Linked DNA regions of Callithrix jacchus. The protein of the gene in region 1 binds, or shares a complex with, the protein of each later gene. Links are inferred from orthologs where the notes say so. Each region holds a gene or a part of one and is shown in the gene's direction. Other genes may lie near its edges.

Evidence for each region. Proteins that work in one complex are often made in the same cells at the same time.
Region 2: the proteins of LAGE3 (region 1) and GON7 are in contact, whole or in part, in a crystal structure (PDB 6GWJ), measured with the Homo sapiens proteins. The link is inferred for Callithrix jacchus from reciprocal best matches to the Homo sapiens genes LAGE3 and GON7. Residues at the interface, in NP_006005.2 of Homo sapiens: Pro60, His61, Ile62, Phe63, Thr64, Leu65, Ser66, Val67, Pro68, Phe69, Pro70, Glu74, Arg102, Ile103, Glu111, Cys113, Leu116, Arg117, Val120, Ile121, Leu124, Asp125, Leu127, Ser128, Val131, Arg132, Met134, Gln135; in NP_115879.2 of Homo sapiens: Met1, Glu2, Leu3, Leu4, Gly5, Glu6, Tyr7, Val8, Gly9, Gln10, Leu17, Asp28, Pro29, Phe30, Gln31, Leu33, Leu34, Val37, Met40, Lys41, Val44, Thr45, Leu47, Phe48, Asp49.

What each region holds. Positions count from the first base shown.
Region 1 is NC_133524.1:150,269,538-150,275,971, reverse strand, and holds LAGE3 (EKC/KEOPS complex subunit LAGE3), read left to right. Parts: upstream 1-2,850; 5' UTR 2,851-2,885; coding exon 2,886-3,073; intron 3,074-3,376; coding exon 3,377-3,505; intron 3,506-3,726; coding exon 3,727-3,841; 3' UTR 3,842-3,861; exon of another isoform or gene 3,862-4,115; 3' UTR 4,116-4,308; downstream 4,309-6,434. UniProt on the Homo sapiens protein: Component of the EKC/KEOPS complex that is required for the formation of a threonylcarbamoyl group on adenosine at position 37 (t(6)A37) in tRNAs that read codons beginning with adenine.
Region 2 is NC_133509.1:128,018,135-128,025,145, reverse strand, and holds the start of GON7 (EKC/KEOPS complex subunit GON7), read left to right. Parts: upstream 1-2,892; 5' UTR 2,893-2,950; coding exon 2,951-3,158; intron 3,159-5,149; coding exon 5,150-5,244; 3' UTR 5,245-7,011. Other genes in the region: putative E3 ubiquitin-protein ligase UBR7, read right to left, coding at 2,547-2,696. UniProt on the Homo sapiens protein: Component of the EKC/KEOPS complex that is required for the formation of a threonylcarbamoyl group on adenosine at position 37 (t(6)A37) in tRNAs that read codons beginning with adenine.

The sequences.
Region 1 (6,434 bases):
GAGGAGAGGGAGGAAAGAAATACTCTATAGCAAATTGAAATGGGCAAATGTGATGAAGAATGCCTGGGGGTGCTGAGTTATACTGGTTATCCTGAAGGCCTCTTGGAGGTGACACTGGAGCCAAGGTCCTAATAATGAGGAGGAGCTAGCCATGGGAAAGTTTGGGGACAGTCTTACAAATAGAAGAGTAAGTGCAAAGGTCTGGGGTCAGGCTGCCCTTGGTCGGAAGCAGAGAGAAGGTCCCAGACGCAGGAGAAGGAGCTGGGACTTTTATAAGATATAGCAGGACTTTATTCCAAGTGCAAAAGGAAATCATTCTAGGGTTTTAACCAGAGATGTGATCCCATGCAATGTTTTTTTTTTTTTTCGAGACAGAGTCTCACTCTGTTGCCCAGGCTGGAGTGCAGTGGTACAATCTCAGCTCACTGCAACCTCCACCTCCCAGGCTCAAGAGATTCTCCTGCCTAAGCCTCCTGAGTAGCTGGGACTACAGGTACACACCACCATACCCAGCTATTTTTTTTTTTTTTGTATTTTTGGTAGAGATGAGGTTTCACTATGTTGGCCAGGATGGTCTGGATCTCTTGACCTCGTGATTAGCCCGCCTCAGACTCCCAAAGTGCTCGGATTATAGGTGTGAGCCACCGCACCTGGCCAATACTTTTTTTTTTTTTGAGACGGAGTTTTCGCTCTTATTACCCAGGCTGGAGTGCAATGGCGTGATCTCGGCTCACCGCAACCTCTGCTTCCTGGGTTCAAGGAATTCTCCTGCCTCAGCTTTCCAAGTAGGCGTGCACCACATGCCCAGCTAATTTTTGTATTTTTAGTAGAGATGGGGTTTCACCATGTTGACTAGGATAGTCTGGATCTCTTGACCTCATGATCCACCCGCCTTGGCCTCCCAAAGTGCTGGGATTATAGACATGAGCCACCGCGCCCAGCCAATACTTCTTTTTTTTTTTTTACTGTAAATGTCATAAAAACCCACTTTGGAAAAATTGGAGGTAAAACTAAAAGTAAATTAAAATCACCCCTATCCTATTATGCAGAGATCATGAGGATTTACATGTTGCTGTATGCTCTAGGATTTCTCTACATGTGTACAGTAAGAGACTAACTTGGCCTTTTCTTTTCTTTTTATTTTTTGAGGCGGGGTCTCGCTCTATCAACCAGGCTGGAGTGCAGTGGGTTGATCACGGCTAACTGCAGCCTCTGCGTCCCGGGCTCAGGCTATCCTCCTATCTCAGCCTCCCTAGTAGCCGGGACCACAGGTACGCATTTTTTTCTGGAGACATGGTTTCACTATGTTGCCCAGGCTGTTGTCGAAATCCTGGCTCAAGCAATCCACCCTCTTCAGTCCCCCAAGTAGATGGGACTACAGGCATGCTCCACCATGCCCAGCTAATTTTTAAAATTTATTTTTGGCCAGGTGCGGTGTTGCGTGCCTGTAGTCCCAGCTACTCGGGAGGCTGAGGCTGAAGGATCGCTTGAGCCCAGGAGTTCTGGGCTGTAGTGCACTATGCTGATCGGGTGTCCGCACTAAGTTGAGCATAAATAGGGTGACCTCCCGGGAACGGGGAACCACCAGGTCGCCTAAGGAGGGGTGAACCGGCCCAGGTTGGAAATGGAGCAGGTCAAATCCAGTGCTGATCAGTAGTATTGCACCTGTGGATAGCTACTGCACTCCAGTCTGGACAACATAGTGAGACCCCGTTTCTAAAAAAAAAAAAAGAAAAGAAAGAAAAGAAAAGTTACTTTTGTATTTGTTGTAGAGATGTGGTCTCACTATGTTGCCCATGTTGGTCTTGAACTCCTGGGCTTAAGTGATCCTCCTCCCTTGGCCTTCCAAAGTGCTGGGATTACAGGCGGGAGCCACTTAGCCTGCCCTAAAGTGGCATTTTCTTTCTTTTTTTTTTGTAGAGACGGGATTTCTCCATGTTGGCCAGGCTGGTCTCGAACTACCGACCTGAGGTGATTCCCCCACCTCCGCCTCACAAAGTGCTGGCATTACAGGCGTGAGCCACCGCGCCCGGCCTAAAGTGGCATTTTCATACTCATAGTTGTGCAGTCTGATTTTCCACGTTATATGAGACCTAGGCACAGCGCCAATACTTGCGTTCAAGGCCGTCATATTTCGCCTCAGTGCAGGCGTTCTGCTGACAGGCTCCCGCTCCGCACAGCGCCCCCACCCCGCTCTAAAATGCCTCCTCTAAAATGTAAATCCGACTCTTTACCGTCCACTGTGAAGCCCCCTCGGTTGGACCATGGGGTCGTGGGCAAGAGCAGTATCCTTGTGGGGGGGTATCAGACCCCGCCACCGTCCCTCCGCGAGTCGCTGCATGCACGTTAGTGCCACATCTCCGGGGGATATTGGGTACCGGTAAGAAACAGGGCGGGAAGCGCCCAGACACCCTCGGGCCTCACTAGGGCCTCACTAGGGCCTGCCCGGCCGAGGCCACAGGCCCTAGACGGCGCAGGCGCGCTGCGGTCACAAGGCGCAGTTAGGGGCGGAGCCTTGCAGGGTGCGCCTCTGGGCTAGGCGACCACGGGGTCTTCAAAACCCCGTCAGGGCTGGCTTCCTGGGGCCTGACTGACTGTGGGTCACTTTGCACTGACGGCCTGGGATCGAGTTACGCGCGAAGGGACAGAGTTTCTGGAGGAGACCGCGGCCTCTTAACCGCTGACTCGGTCTCAGAAGGCACCCGGCAGGGCCGCTTGGCGGGAACTGACCACGCGCCAGGCAGGCTTCCCAAGAACGAGTGCCGGCGCGTGTGGGCGGAGTCGGGCGCAGGGGGCGGGGATTCGGGAAAGGGACCGGGAGAGAGGGCGGGGCGTGGGGGCCTGCGCCTCGGGGGTGGAGTCCGAGCTGCGTGGCGGCGGAGGTCATGCGGTGCGCGAATGCACACGCTGGCGCAGGCACAATTGGCAGGGATGGCCAGGGTGGCCACAGCTGCCCCAGGGGCACGGACACAGCGGGAGCTCCGGCTGACGAACCTTCCCCACCGCACCCGCCAGGTCCTGGCAGAGACGCCGCATCTGCGGCCAGGGGTTCAGGAATACGGCCGCACATATTGTATTCTTTCCAAGGGGAGGTCGGGAACAGACTGGCGGCTGCCTGCGCCGGGGCGAGGGCTGGATTCGGGGAGGAAGAAAGGAGGGCGGGCGGCGACCGGGGTAGACGAGCAGGGGTGCTCGGAGGAGGGGAAGAAATAGAAATGGAAGGAGAGAAGCCCTGCCAGCGGTGGCCTGGGCCACGTGAGGAGTAAAGCGAATGACTCTAGGTAGGGTGACCTGAGGGGGGGCTTCAGAGGATCAAGAAGGCCTGAGACATAGGCAAAGTCGTATCAGATGGCACCTTAACCGAATGCCCCCCCAGCACCCTTAGTGTGCCTTTCCCGACCCCCTTGGAGGCGGAAATCGCGCATGGGTCCCTGGCTCCAGATGCCGAGCCCCACCAAAGGGTGATTGGGAAGGATCTCACAGTGAGCGGCAGGATCCTGACCGTGTAAGTTCTGAAAGGGGCTGGAGTTGGGGGAGGCAACCGATGGAGACGTAGGGGGCACCCATGGATGAACCCTAAGGAGCGCCAGGTGCGCCGGGCCGGTCTCCACCTGAGGGGCTGTCTCATGGGCTCCCGAGGCTTTGCTGTAATGGGTGCCTGAGCGGCAGAGTGACGGACCAGGAGTTGTCACCTCCAATTTTATTTTCTTTATCCCTCACTTTTAGCCGCTGGAAAGCTGAAGACTGTCGCCTGCTCCGAATTTCCGTCATCAACTTTCTCGACCAGCTTTCCCTGGTGCTGCGGACCATGCAGCGCTTTGGGCCCCCCGTTCCCCGCTAAGCCTGGCCTGGGAAAATGGGGTGAGGTCTAATATTGCGTCTCCCTAGGTAGGGCACCCAGCTTTCCCTAGGGCAGGAGTTCCCACAGTTGCTATTTTCCTGTGAAAGCCTCATGGTCGGCCTGTACTGGCCCGTGGGTGCTCAGGGGCCCCTTGTTTGATCTGGTTCTTAAATGTTTGTTACCACAGAAAATAAAACTGAGCTACTGTTCCAAGTCTGAGTTTATTTCAGCTACAGCACCTCCCAATATTCTAGTCATTGTGCTTCGGTTACAGGGGAGGTTCTAGAATCCAGATATTCAAGGAAATTGAAGACAATTTAGGAAATGGAAGAAAATGAAAATCAGCTGGGCTCTCATTCAGCATCAACTACTGTCAACATTTTGGAATCCTTCCTTATAGTTACATTTATTACAGTTGTTTTCCCCTGAAGTTAATAGTAATAAACGTGTAACTGTAATATACAGCATATAATTTTTGCAAGTTTAGCGTTAATTTTTTTTCCTGAATTTTAAATCTAACATGAGCTTCTTTCCTCTAACAGTGAAGAAAGTGCTGGGTCAACTGACTAGTGTTTGGGGAAGGAGTTGGCTCCCTGTAAATACACTAAACTCAGTCTTAGGACTCTTTTGTAGATTCAATTGGATTTTCTGAGAGTGGAAATAAAGAGGTACAACTGCGTATCCTCAGAAAACATGGAAACGGTTTGATCCTTTTTAGTCTTTCTCTGAAGATGTGCTGCATGGGACTGGAGCAGCTCTTATGGTAGACTTCAGTTTCCCGGCTATGGAGGCAACAAACACCATTCAGGGCACCCTGGCCAATGCTGCCCAGGTGAATATGAGCTTCTGTATCCTGGTGGGTGGGGACAGCTGCTAGTCCCTGTCCTGCTTGCATACTGGAGTCACCTTTCTTCCTTTCCTGCTGGGGTGATGTCTTTCCCTGGCCTTGGGTAGCTTCCTCACATGCCTGTGCTCACTGGTGGTCTGCTGACACCAGAGGAGGACTCTCCGTGGATATCCAGGGTTTTTTCCCTGTGCAGCTCTCTTCTCTCTAGCTCCCCATCCTGCAAACTCCAGCTACTGGGACTCTCTGATTCAGAGTTTCAACTCATAAAGTCCGGGTATCTGCCTGGCTCCACCAGGAAACTCCACACAGGGCACTGGGCCAGTCACGTGGCTTACCTCAAGTGTTTCCCAGCTCCCACCTGTCACTGTCCCTCACTGCCCCACAGCCAGTTTATTGTGTTCCATATATTTGGTCTGGTTTGGGGGTTCTTTCATGTGGCAGTACATATTCAGTCCCTATTACTCCATAAGGAGGAACAGTTTCATTTTGCAGAATCTGGGGAGCTCTGCCAGTAGTGACAGTGGCACTGGTCTCGAGCTTATGAAGATGACACTTTGTTCTCTCCCTCTGTTTTACTCATTCCTTTCTTTCTTCCTTTCTTAATATTTTTTAAACGTTAATTATTGATGAACAGTTGGCAATTTAGATCTTTTACTTTTTAAAAAATTCTTTTTTTGGACACAGGGTCTGGCTCTTGTCACCTAGGCTGGCACAGTCATGGCTCACTGCAGCCTTGACCCTCTGGGCTCAGGCAATCCTCCCACCTCAGTCTCCTGAGTAACTGGGACCACAGGCACATGCCACCACACCTGGCTAATTTTGTGTTTTTTGTAGAGAGGGGTCTCACTATGTTGCCGAGGCTGGTTCTGAACTCCTGGGCTCAAATGATCTTCTTGTGTGGGCTTCCTAAAGTCCTGGGATGACAGGTGTGAGCCACCACACCCAGCCCCATATAACTCAAACCTAGCCCCAATTTAGCTCTGTCTCCCTTCCTCTTCCTCTCATGATGCTTCTGTTAGATTCCATTCATTTCTGAGAGATTTTCCCCTAAGGTTAAAAATTGCCTTGTTTTCCCATGGCTTAGTTATCATTATCATATGATGGTAACATTCTAAACCATCTCCCTTGCCCTCTGTCCTCCGTCTGGCTGGCTCTGTCTGGGCTGACTGCACAGCTGCCATCCCGCAATTTCTCTTTATCCTGGGTCAGAATCCAGTCCTGCCTTGCATGTCCTTCTCTTTACTGTTTTACTCCTTATTTGTGTAGTTGCTTGTTTTTTTAACTCAGGCTTATTAAGGCATCATTTACGTACTGTGAACTTCCCCTCTGCTGCATGGACAGGTCTCAGTTTTGGTAAACACCAACGGTCCTGTAACCACCACCGCTGTCTGGCGCCGTGGCCCCAGAGCTGGACAGTTGGAGCTGGCAGCTTTTAAACCCAAGTCAGATGGCCTCAGTTCTCTGCTCCAGGCCATCCAAGCCACCATATTTAAAACTGCATCTCACTGGGCTGGGCACAGTGGCTCACAACTGTAATCCCAGCATTTTGGGAGGCCAAGGCAGGAGGATCACTTGAGCCCAGGATTTCAAGACCAGCAAGACTCCATTTCTACTAAAGGAAGGAAAAAAAATAGCTGGGTTTGGTGGCAAGTACTTGTAGTCCCAGCTACTCAGAAGGCTGAGGCAGCTGGATCACTTGAGCCCAGCATGAGCAATAGGGCAAGATCCTGTCTCAAAAAAAAACAT
Region 2 (7,011 bases), on another chromosome or scaffold:
TTCTTTCTAATTTATTTTTTGCAGAGATGAGGCCTTGCTATGTTTCCCAGGCTGATTTCAAACTCCTGGGCTCAAGCAATTCTCCACCTTCGCCTTCCAAAGTGCTGGGATTACAAGCATTAGCCACAATGCAAACCAACATTTCTTAAAGTGATAGGAAGTCTGAATTTGTCAGCCAGCTGTGAATAAACCAATCTGTTTAATCATTTTAACATACGAAAACATAGGAGCATATGTATAGGTTTATATAATATCATACTTTCATCCTGGAAAATGTTTGTAAATCTACCAAAGAGATAATCAACACATGCAAAGAATCCCTTTGATTTTTAGGAGATGCATGCTTATTTAGAGATATAGAGTCATCAGGTGTGCAACTTATTTTTAAATAGTTCAAAAATTTAAAACAACAAATTGTAAATAGAAAAGGAGATTTAAAAATGTGACAAAATGTTAAAAGTGAATATGTATGCCGAGTGCAGTGGCTCACGCCTATAATCCTAGCACCTTGGGAGGCTGGGGGGGTGGGGGAAGGGGGGAAATCACCTAAGGTCAGGAGTTTAAGACCAGTCTAGTCAACGTGGTGAAATCTCCTCTCTACTAAAAATACAAAAATTAGCTGGGCATGGTGGTGGGCGCCTGTAATCCCAGCTTCTCGGGAGTCTTGAGACAGGAGAATCGCTTAAACCCCATGAGGTGGAGGTTGCAGTGAGCCAAGATTGCCCCATTATACTCCAGCCTGGGTGACAACAGTGAAATTTTAATCTCAAAAAAAAAAAAAAATAATGAATATGAATAAAAGGTATACAAGTGTTCATAATATTATTATTTCAATTTATCTGTAGATTAAAAATGCTTCAGGCCAGGTGGGGTCGCTCAGGCCTGTAATCCAAGTACTTTGGGAGACCGAGGTGGGCAGATCACCTGAGGTTGGGAGTTCAAGACCAGCCTGACCAACATGAAGAAACCCTGTCTCTACTAAAAATACAAAAAATTAGCTGGGCATGGTGGCGCATGTCTGTAATCCCAGCTACTCAGGAGGCTGAGGCAGAAGAACTGCTTGAACCCAGGAGGCGGAGGTTGCGGTCAGCTGAGATCGCGCCATTGCACACCAGCCTGGGCAACTAGAGCAAAACTCGGTCTCAAAAAAAAGCAAAACTTTCATAAATCTTAACAATGTTAAAAAAACAAACAAACAAAAAAGCTTAAAAATAAAAAGCTTAAAGAAAAATAGGCAAAACTTTCATAAATCTTAACAGTGTCACCTTCCTCTAGGGAAGGAAGAAGACAGACAAGGAGGCTTCTGGGATGCCAGTAAGGTTCTATTTCTTTTCTTTTTTTAAAGTTCTATTCCAATAAGCCTTTTGCACTCCTAATGTTCTAGTTGTTGAACTGGGTGGTGAGAACATGCACGCTTTCAAGTTGTGTACATGATTTGTGCAAATTTCCGTATTTTTAAACCACAAGAAAAAGAAAATATTAAGGAAATCCATTTTATAAAGGTAACTACACTTCAAAAATAGTTTACATGTAGATTTAGAACTTTTTTCCCCTTTTTTTAAGGAAAGCAGAGGAAAAATGGTTTTAGTGGTGAGCAAAGACTTTAAAATACCTGGGGCTATGTGTGGATATCAGGTTTATTCAACACTTTGCAGTCAACAATGACAACTGGTTATTATGATCTCAGTTCATACCACATAATGAATGCAAGTCTCTCCCCTCATCTCTCCAGTGTTCCAGTTCACCCCTCTGCCTAGGTAACACTTCTTCCTACCAATTCTCATCCTTTTGTCAGTTTTCTTCCTACCCATCCTTTTCCATTTTTGTACCTTGAAGTATAGGGTGAGTCACTAAACACCACGTCACACCCCCTCAAATACTTGCTCACTCACAACGTCTTCCAAATGCCAAACAGATCCTTTTCTCCTCTCTCCCCTCCCTTGCCAGAGTCGCTTGCTGTTCTGTTTCCGGTCTATTTCCAGGGGAGGGAGCGGACTGCAAATAGACATGGGTACTTGCTTCATTTTGCCAAAAAAGAAAAAAAGAAAAAGTACTAGCTAGCACTTGTCAAACTAAATTGCAGAGGAACAAGCTGTCAAGGAGCTCACCGCAAATCCTTATGGATTTGAAAATCTCTTTAACCTGACTCTCCCATTCAGTTCCCTAATAAATAAATAAATATTAGGATGGGAAGAGCAAAAACAAAGATGTCTGTGACTGAGAGGTCACGGGGTGGTTTCGTGAAAAGCAGTGGGGCACCAAGAAGAAGCTGGAGAGGAGGGACAGCGGCTCAAGGACCCAACCAGGCGGGCCGGACGGAGTTAGAGAGGGGAGAGGGGGGCCCCTGCTGGACACAGGCTGAAGGGGGCCCAGGAGGTTGGAGCTAAAAGGGCAGAGTGGGCTTGGGGTGAGGAAGCGGCAGACGAACGGCGGCCCCGGACCACCACTGAGGAAACGACCGTGGCAGGCGGGAATAGGGACAGCCCAGCCGCGAAGGGGAGGTTCGGCGGGAGCGGGGTGAGACGAGGCCCGGGCCGCACGCCCACCTGCGAGTAGGAGCATTTCTCAGAGTCGCTGCCGCCCAGGACAGCGCACGCCTCATTCTCCAGCTCCTCGTCCTCCTCAAGGACGTCGACCAACGATACGACGGGCTCCAGCTCCGACTGCCGCCCAGCGGCGCCCTCAGCCCCGGCCATCCTCAACTGTCACCCGAACAGCGGCTCGGCCACGGCGGAGGCGGGAAAAGCGGCCGCGAGGGGCGTAGCCGGAGGAGGCGGGGCCCGAGCGCCAGAAACCAATGACAAAGAAAAAAAGCGAAGAAAGGAGGAGGAGCGACCTCCGACAAACGGAAGTCACTCCTCTCCCTTCTCCCGCCTGCGCCGGTCGGGGGCTGATTTCCGCCTCCGGCTGGCGCTTTCCCGTGTCGCGTTCTTTAAGCTTAGCGGTCGCCATGGAGTTGCTGGGAGAGTACGTCTGGCAGGAAGGGAAGTCGCAGAAGTTGCGGGTGTCGTGTGAGGAGCCGGGTGGCGGCGACCCTTTTCAGGGCCTGTTGTCTGGCGTGGCCCAGATGAAGGAGCTAGTAACGGAATTATTCGGCCCCCTGGTACAGGGGGAGGTGCAGCACCGGGTGGCGGCGGCTCCAGACGAGGCCTTGGACGGTGAGCTCTGAGACTGTGCTGCAACGACAGGAGGGCGGGGCGGGCGCCCAGGGGAAATCGGCTTGGGGAGCCTGTGTAGAGTGACAGACTTGGACAAAGTGAGCCTCGAGGAAAGAAGAATTGCATCTAAAAATTTTTGGTGGGTCGGGGCAGGTGGCTTACGCCTGTAATCCTAACACTTTGAGAGGCCGAGGCAGGAGGATCACTTGAGGTCAGGAGTTCTAGAACAGCCTGGGCAACATATCGAGACCCCATTTATATTATTATTTTAAGAATAAATTTAAAAGATAAAAATTGTTGGCATTTTCAACATATTTATCTGGATTGCTTCTACTCAAGCATTTCCACGACTCTTACCACTTTTTGATTTATATCACAAAAAAAGAAATAGTGCCAAATGCCTACTATTATGTGCCAAACCCTGAGCTGAGCCCTGGAGGAAGAATGAGGTGAATGTGGCTGAGTTCCTACCCTCGTTAAACACAAGGGGATTAGACAGGCAGACACTCTATTAAGAGTGAAAGTGATTCTGTGGCCCTCTGTAACTATTGCAAACCCAGAGACCCCAGGAAGGCTTCAGAGATGACAAGACTTTTGAGCTGGGTGTTGAAGAAAATAGAAAGTTTTACCAGGTGTTAAACTATGTTTGGAAGAGTGCAGTGCAGTCTATCGCAGAGTAGGAACAGGTTCCAAAGATTGAGACAGACTTAATATTAACACGTATTGACTCCCAGGGACTCTCTTGCTATATTCCGGTTTTGTAGGTGCAGTTTGAAAGTAGAAACATGAAGTTTAACTGCATTAGTGTTTTTAAACTGTCTTGAATGCAAAACTAGACAGATTCATTTGGACTGTCCTGAACTGAAAAACCCAAAAACTAGATATTGGAGTCAGGATTTACAATTCTTTAAGAAAAGCCTAAACTACTTTCCTTCCATCTTGGGAATTAACATCTTGGTAATATGGATGTTGGCTATACTCAAAAAGAACAAGAAGTGTTGGCTGGAATGTGAAGAAATTGGAGACCTTGTACATTGTTGGTGGAAATGTAAAATGGTATAACCACTGGGAAATAGAGTTCGGTAGCTCCTCAAAAAGTTGACCTGAAGTTACCACATGACCCAGCAGTTCCACTGGTAGCCCTCTCAAGAGAACTGGAAACATGTTCACACAAAAACTTACACATGAATATTCATAGCAGCATTATTTATAGTGGCTACAATGTGGAAACAACAATTGGCTGGGCTTGGCATTGCACCTTTAGGAGGTGGAAGTGCATTAACAAAATGTGATCTGTCCCTACAATGGAATATTACTAGCAATAACATGTAATGATGTATTGATATATGCTACAACATGAATGAACCTTGAAAACATTATGCTAAGTGAAAACCAGATGCAAAGGGTACATGTTATATGATTTTGTTTATAAATGTACAGAAGGGGCAAATCCATAGAGATAAGTAGATTAGTGAGCCGAGTGCAGTGGTGGGCACCTGTAGTCCCAACTACTCTAGAGGCTGAGGCAGGAGGATCACTTGAACTGGGAGTTTGAGTCTAGCCTGGGCAGCATAGCAAGACCCTGTCTCTAATAAAAATTAAGGGGAAAAAAGGTAGGTTAGTGGTTGCCAAAGGCTGAGGGGAATGGAAAGTGACTGCTAATGGGCATATCATTTATTTTTGGAGTGATGAAAGTGTTCTAGAATTAGATAGTGGTGATGGTTGCACAGGCTAGTGAATATACTAAAAACCACTAAGCTGTACACATTAAAAGAGTGGATTTTATTATGAATGAATTGATATCTCCAAAAAGGAAAGTGATAGACAATAAAGATTTTAAACACTGAAATTCTCAAAATCATTTTAATCTAAAATGTGCATGGTTTTATTAGTTCCTAAAGTGAAATGGTTTTACTCTCAACCACTTTAGCTATATATATTTCTTTCAACCACAGAACATATTGTCATACAACAAATATTTATTTTAAAAGGTGATGATGAAGATGATGCAGAAGATGAAAATAACATTGATAACGTAACTAACTTCGATGGACCATCTGCAAAACGGCCAAAACCACCATCTTAACAATAGCCTTTATGATATTTAAAAGACTGCTATTCTATCCTAATTGTCACACTGGGACATTTAAGGAAGACTTATGCTCTAATTTGGAAAAGTGTTTGTGTTCTTCTCCTGGGACAATTTTGTCAAAGAGAAAACTAGTTTTTCTCTTTCTAGCAAAGATAGTAAAGGTTTGGAAATAAAATCCATTTTCTTGAGAAATAATTTCAGACCATGAAAAATAGAACATAATGTATAAAATCCTCTTAAGTTGGCAACTGAATTTTTATCATTGTTTTCTATTTTTAAAATGACCATTGAATTGTGTGATGTCTACATCTTTTAACTTCTGCTTCTGTTACAACGAGTGCATGTCACGGTTCATAGGCAGTAACATTTCAGAGAACTAACATGAACAAGTGGTGAAAATTGGGCATTAAATGTAAAAATAACAGTTCTTCATAAATAGAAGGAAAATGAGGAAATAGAAATACTGAAGAGGAGAGTCCTTGAAAGAGACCCAAGGAAACCCTGAATTCACACCCATATCTGTCCAGTATACAGATATGATGCCACTTAATGAATGTGCATTAATCTGATGTATTATGTACCTTAAGAGAGCCAGATGGGGTGGGTTATGTTTTTGTGCTGTGATATGGTATGGACACAGGTACAAATATAAGGCCTTAAGTAAGCAATCTGTGTTGACTACAATTTAGATATTTCCTCTCCTGTAGCCATACTTTGATTTTGCTTTAAAAAGATTATTTAGCCAGGCTAATTTTGATTTTGCTTTTAAATGGTTATTTAGCCAGGCCTGGTGCCGTACACCTATAATCCAGCACTTTGGGAGGCCAAGGCAGATAGATCACCAGAGGTCAAGAGTTCAAGACCAGTCTGACCAACAGTGAAACCCTGTCTCTCCTAAACAAAAAATTAGCTAGGTGTGGTGGTGCATGTCTGTAATCCCAGCTACTTGGGAGGATGAGGCAAGAGAATCACTTGAAAATGGGAGGTGGAGGGGTTTCCTCCGTCTCCAGATCAAAAAGGTTAACAGGCGGGTCGAGTCTGAAGAATCTGGTGATGAAGAAGGGAAGAAGCACAGCAGTGGCATCGTGGCTGACCTCAGTGAACAGAGCCTGAAGGATGGGGAGGAGGACCCAGAAGAAGAACACGAGCTGCCTATGTGAACCTATGAAAACCATCAACCTGAACAGAGATGCAGAGGATGTTGATTTGAATCACTATCACATTGGGAAGACTGAAGGATTTGAGATACTGAAGAAAGTGAAGACTCTCTGCCTCTGCCAAAATTTAATTAAATGCATTGAGAATCTGGAGGAGCTACAGAGTCTTCGAGAGCTGGATCTTTACAACGACCAGATCAAGGAGACTGAGAATCTAGAGGCGCTAACAGAGCTGGAGATTCTAGCTATTTATTTTAATCTGCTGAGAAACATCGAAGGGGTTGATAAGTTGACACAACTGAAAAAACTCTTCTTGGTCAACAATAAAATCAGTAAAATTGAGAACTTAAGCAACTTACATCAACTACAGATGCTAGAGCTGGGATCTAACTGCATCCGGGCAATCGAAAATATTAACACGTTAACCAATCTGGAGAGTTTGTTTTTGGGGAAAAGCAAAATTACTAAACTTCAGAACCTGGATGCGCTCACTAACCTGACGGTCCTCAGCATGCACAGCAACCAGCTGACCAAGATCGAGGGTCTGCAGAACCTGGTGAACCTGTAGGAGCTGTACCTCAGCCACAACGGCATTGAGGTCATC